Saccharomyces cerevisiae S288C: one gene and its partner. The gene in region 2 interacts genetically with the main gene of each other region. Each region holds a gene or a part of one and is shown on either strand. Other genes may lie near its edges.

Evidence for each region.
Region 1: mutations in YHR212W-A (region 2) and GIP2 together harm fitness less than expected from each alone (positive genetic interaction), as found in Saccharomyces cerevisiae (one large-scale study listed by BioGRID).

The regions. Positions count from the first base shown.
Region 1 is NC_001137.3:261,957-265,721, forward strand, and holds GIP2 (Gip2p), read right to left. Parts: upstream 1,743-3,765; coding exon 96-1,742; downstream 1-95. Other genes in the region: HIS1 (ATP phosphoribosyltransferase), read right to left, coding at 2,936-3,765.
Region 2 is NC_001140.6:536,831-539,519, reverse strand, and holds YHR212W-A (uncharacterized protein), read right to left. Parts: upstream 779-2,689; coding exon 575-778; downstream 1-574. Other genes in the region: YHR213W (uncharacterized protein), read right to left, coding at 1-369.

The DNA.
Region 1 (3,765 bases), on a different chromosome or scaffold from region 2:
AGTTCGGTCCCAATCATGAGAGTAACTCAGGCCAAGATCTAGCAAGTCATTTTGCTTTTTATGTCCATTCTTCATCTCCTTCCTTCTGGTTGCCTTCATGCTGCCGCCGCGAAGGGATCGTTAAAGCCATCCATTACAACATCCACCTTATAATTATTCCCGTTGTTGTTGTCCCAGTACTCTTCGCGCTCATAGTCGTTACGTGTAGAATAATGAATGCAAAATTCTAACTTGCCGCGAGGATCCACTTTGCTGACATCATCGATAATGAAGTGGAAAATGTCCATGTTAGTGCCCGGCAATATTCCATCGCCATCACTGATGTAAACGCATTCCACTTCATGTGTTGTTCTCCAACTATCCCACGTATATCGTACCACCACTCTTTTATCATAGAAAATGTTTTTCACTAGTATCCTTCCAGCAATTAATCTTGTACAGCCAGCGTTATAACCCTTGGCCACACCATTACAGTCATTACCATTGTGGCTATTGGGAATATTATAAAATGAGGAGGAATTTGAAAAGTAATTGTTGTCTCTATGGATGTATAATGACAATTCTTGTAGAAAAACTTTCTTATTTTGTGATAAATTGATAAAAATGTTCAGCTTTAAACTTTTAGGATTCTTGTTGCTTAAAATGGGGAAGTTCTTGCTGTATAATCCAACAACATGGTAATTTTTTGAATTACGATCTGAAATTTCATGAGCACCGCCACCATTAACGAATTTTTTATTTGATTTTGATGGTGGCATGTCGGTCCTGTTCTTTAGGAGGTTCTGAAATCTTTTACTTTTTCTTAATTTTGTATTGTTGGTGCCTTTACCATTGTTTGGATTCGAAATTTTAGCAGGATGTGCGAAGCCTTTTGGCGCAACTGTCGTCAAGTCATCATCTATGGATGTCGTTTCTAATCCAGATGATAGCATTTTTGTCTCTTCTTCCGGGTCCACCATTAAATTCACTGGCTTATGCTTAAAGCTTAGACAATTATCGTGTTGTTCAGTTTTATTAACGTTTATAGGGCTTTCATCCTCAGCAAAATATTTTACAGGTGCCGCCTGATCAAAGTGAACACTCTTACTCCTAATCAACATCGGACTACCGTCTCTTGCTTGGACACCATTCCCGCTCCTTATACCTGGGGTTGTAGGTAATGATTTTGATCTTCTCTTCAATGAGCTCTTCAATAGTTCACCTGACTTTTTATATACAGGTGGCGCAAATGGAATTAGAATTTCTTCATCATATTCAAAATTCATATCATTGCCAGGTGACTTAGCTTCGGGATATTCTGCTTGAAAAGATTTTGGTACGGTGGATTTGGGGGAAAGGGGAGGCAGCTCTATTTTGAATGGGGGTCTCGTACTGCCATTTAATGATTCTACGGAAGTGTGATTCTTGGCAGCGGCAATTTTTGACCAGCCGCTCTCATTATCAACGTTTTCATCATTCCCTGCGGAGAAAATTCTTTTGTTTAAATCAGTGTTTCTTTGCACTTCTTCCTCTGGGAACCTGTTCGCTCTCATTTGAGTTACTCTCTGAGGTTTATGTAAAAACTTCAAAGAGTTTAAAGTCTCTTCCGTACTTCCATCTCGTTCTTTGTTGTATAGGTCCGAATTCACTCTGTAACCCTTGAAATCTGTTTCAAGATCTGGTAGCTGCTGGTTTTTATTTCTGTCTAGTTTTTCATTCTTCCTCTCAAACTGTTGGGGTTTCTGTTCTGCCTTTATATACATTGTTGCGTTGATGAAATCCTAATAAACTTGGGCTGTAAGAATAAAATTTTGACAAGATATCTGTACCCGTTCCTATTAAACTTGTTTCTGAGTACAACGGAGATCTTTTTGATGTTCAGCCTACTAAAAACTATACCTTACAGAAAGAAAAAAAAAAGTCCAATGTGGTTCCTTTCTCCTCAATCAAACAGAATGCCAACCTTCCTTGTTTCTTTTCCTTTTTTACTACTAAAAGGTTTTATAAACCAGACTTCTCTCTTTAAACGTCCCGTCAACCCTGCCTTTAGTAACTGCTTTCCCGTCTAGCTTTCTTTTCGTTCCTATTGTTTTAACCGTATTGTATGCAGGTTTACCTTCTATAAATATGCACTGAACTGGAAAGGCTATGTTTGAAAAGCTTTAGTTTTCTTCTGTTGAACGGATGGGCCCTGTGTTGCTTATTACGCAATGCAGTATATATAAAGGAACTCAACCTGAAGAAGAATATGCAAGATATAGAAAGACCGTTGCAATATCGAAATATTTCCTGTTGGATAGAACGAACTTCTTGGCCCCTTCATTGAGAAGCGTAGCTGATACACATTTTTGGTAAAAGACCTCATGGTAGCAGCCCCTTTCCCCTTAAAAAGACTTAATATGGCATACTGTTTTTCTTTTATGCGCTTCATTCCACGGCAAAAAGAACCTTTCCCCGCCCCCACTCTGCGACAGGAGTTTGCCGCCCATCTCCACAATAGGCATAGTTGTCGGTACCTTCCAGCGCTACGTCAGCCTCTTCCGGGCAAAAAATCGACGTAGCATGGAAAAATGCATTCTAGACAGCTTTATGCGTTACGATCCCCAATCTATGCTCCCTGGGGAGAGTTTGTACAGGTTTTCTCCAAAATAAAAATACCTACAAAACTCCGAATATTTATGGGTAGCTCCAGTTTTCGAAAATTGGAGAAATGAAGGGGGTTGAAGAAGAAGGTTTCATGAGCATGAAGACGGTAGTAAAGCTGACAAATATGCTACGAAGATTTAACTTCCTGGGGAAGTAGCAAAAAAAAAGAAAAAATATTCACAGAGATAACCTCAAAACACACTTGGGAAGTCATGAGGGGTAACTTAGAATAAGATAGAACTCTATCAAATTATTGCCTATAAAAAATACAAAATTAATCGGGATTTGGCTTCCCTTTTTCTGTTCTATCTTATACACGACAATTAGAAATTTCGAAAACCATGATATCAGATGCGCCGAGTCTTTTCAATTCATCTAAAACAACACCCTTCGTTTTTCTCTCAATCATGGAACTAACAGCAACCCATCCTTCATCGTCAATTTTGGAAATGGTTGGTGCTCTACGGCCAGGCGTCACCTTCAACAGTTCAGGCAGCTTGTCTTCAGGTGCGTTATAAATACATGAAACGAACCTTTGAGCGGTCATGACACCTTCAATTCTTGATTTGATAGTAGCAATCAAACTCTTATCGCTCTTTGGGTTCTTTGATTCTATTAGGTAGGCACTTGTGCTTAGGACGGTGGCAATATCAACTAAACCTGCTGCCCTCATTGTCTCACCACTCTCTACAAGATCTACAATAGCATCACCAATTCCCAGAGCACATGATGCCTCCACGGAACCACTGACAAACTTTATCCTTGTGGTCATTTTTTCAACAGTAGTACCTTCCAAATCGGCAAAGTATTTTTCAGCAAGTTTCACGAAACTGGTAACAATGGTTTTGCCAATTAACTGTTCTGGCTTTTTATACTCGCCATTTACGGGGACTTGTACCTGCAATTTACAGTTACCAAATTGCAAATCGATTGCTAAGTCTACGTCGACGTTAGATTCACGAACTTGGTCAACACCAGTTATACCAAGATCACATTTACCTTCACCAACAAAAGTTGGAATATCTGCAGCGGGCAGAAAGACCAACGCTACAGGTAAGCTTGTGCTTAGTGCAATGTCTAATCTTTGAGAGCGGTGAAAGGTAATATCAGCACCATTCAAAATAGAAACACTTTTAGAAT
Region 2 (2,689 bases):
ATTTGACTGACTTAAATCATCGTCAAAAGAGTAAACGTACCCTTCAAAGTCATCACTAACAGTAGTACCATCAGGCAATTCCACGCTAATTGGAAGCGTGCCCCAGGAAACGGCATTGGAGTAAACAACCTTCAGCGGATAATAGTAGCCTGCATACATGTAGACAGTCCCTCCGATGTTATCAGGCAAACTTCCTTGCCATGGCTTAATACCATTGATTGTAAAATCCGTCGATGTAATTGGAGGTTGTTCTTGTGCACAACATTCGAACGCAACGTTACCACCGACTGATAGAATTGCAGAGTCATCGACCTTAGCAAACCTGAACGTGTAAGAACTTGTTTGTGGTGGTAAAAAGTAACCTGTCATTTCTAGAGTAGCGTTTTTTGGGATAGTAAGAAACCAAGTAAATCAGTACTCCAATAGGTCTTTCTTGGCTATTTTGAACATTCACTATGACCTCTGCATCCCCAGTTTCCATAAGCATCTGATTGAGCACATTTAAAAGTTCCTGAAGAGATAACACAAGAAAGATCGTAGTCAATTGAGAAATCCGTCTGTCCGCCAACGGAACCTAATTCCAATTCGAGGCATATCCAGAAGTCATATATTGCGGGTAGGAATACGTTGTTGAATCCAGTAATGAGTATTTATAAAAGTTGACATTCATCCCATTTTTCCTCGGGCCCACTGGCAGGCATGCTTGTGTACTTCCTGAAACAACATTGGACGTGGCCAGGTAGGTGAAGAGTGCCAAAAATAAATAGTGATAAGGCATTTCTTGGTTCGTCAATCAGGTATGGGTATATTAAACAATAACTTTTAGCCATGCTGTTAATGATGAAAATTTTGATGCTGGTCTCTTCATATGTCATTGTTTTGGGAACTGTCTTTTTTCGATCAGATGTATGCGCTACGATTTGTTTAGCGTAGTGATGTTCCTGCGCTGTATTTAGGAAATTTTGGTATCGAAACGTCCCTACAACACTTTTTGTCGCTGATATCTGCACATGCGAGTAACGCCGATTCCATTACATTATTACCTTCCACTTCCCAGAAACGATTTATTACGACTCAACAAGTTCAAGAAAAAAATTAAAAAGGTTACAACCACATTTTGCGTTTAGGTGCAGCGAGGCTTACCTTGATGCAGTCCTAAAGAGTCCTGCAGCAGTTGTAACGAATCCTATTTGCTTTTATGCATTCCTAAACGGGCTGAAGTATAAGTCTTGAGGAACTCCGGGAGAAGATACGATAAGCTCTGAAGTGCCAAATTTTATTATCAAAAAAAATATTTGTACAAGCGGAAAAGGAGTATACTCTTCCTCTTTTGCTTCATCACAAGAGGATCATTTTGACGTTGTCTGTTGTACTACTTCTTTATCGGCGTGCGCAGGAAAAGAAAGAAAAAGGAAGGAAAAAGAGATGTCAAAAACCGATGTCAAAAAATCTCGTGAGGCCTCCGGAATTTTGACGCTGCAAGTCAATCTACGGGAAAGAAGAAATTTTTTAAACTTAATGCAAAATAAGCTTTTTTCTTGGAAAATAAGATTTTCGGCAATAAAAGGTAAATGCAGCCAAAAATCAAAATACTTCAGAAGAAGTCGTAGCGAGGACTGCTACGTGGAAGCGGATTTGAAGATCCTTTCCAGAACAAGAAGGAGCCGAAAGCTGCCAGGAACTGTTCCTGATTTTTTAGGAAAACAATTAATAGGTATCTCGTCTAGCGTAGTATCTCGAGTTTCCAGAAGTTGCAGATAATCAAAATCATTGTTTTATCGCTTTTTTTAAATTACAGCTTAGAAGAGTAGAGAGCAAGTTTACTGAAACGGTTCCTTGTTTACAATAATATTCCTAACAAACTTCACGAATTAGGATGCAGCATGATTTTTTATCTTGCTTCACTTCCTAAAGTATGAATTTTTATCCGTAGTCGCAACCAAAACAGCTACTGGAAATTTGCAGCTTGTTAAAAACCGGTAGTTTCCGAATACTCCTCGTCCTTGAGTTGTATACCGTTAAACTTCCTAGGGTATCATGTGTCTGGCCCAAAATTGACCCACAAAATCTGGTCCTATTGACGGTCTTCTTTTGATTTTCAGCATCCTACTCTAAGAAGGACAGAAAATTATGAAATATATGGGAGAAACGGCCTCCCAACTGCTAAGTGTTCCCGGCAGCACGAGTAAGCAAAATTCAGGCAACCTATTGCATTAAGAAGCCCTACATAATTCAGCGTGATATGATGGAGTTTTGTTAATTGCAAATTTTAGTACGATTTGGTTGTTAGTGTGTGTTTATGCAAGTAATTATTGAACCCTAAGTAGTTACTGTCTTCTTTTGCTGTAATTCGTGGATTCATGGCCCTCCAGCAACATGGATTGAAAGGTTCTTTAAAGTTTTTAATCCGTAAAGTTCTGAAATGTATTTTAATCATGTCAATAATTCAACTGGTGGGTAGCATTTATGACCAAAAGCGTACTTAAATTAGCAGCAAAAAAATTTTTAATAACGAAACTATAAGGAAAAAAAAATACGAGGTACTGATTATGAGAGTTCCAGTTTCTCATTTTTGAGACATGATCTGAACAAGGCTGAAAACAGCAATCTTTTTCAATAACTTTTGCAAAAATTTCAAACATTGTTGTTTGAATGCAGCTAATTTTTATAGAGTACAGAGCTCAATGCT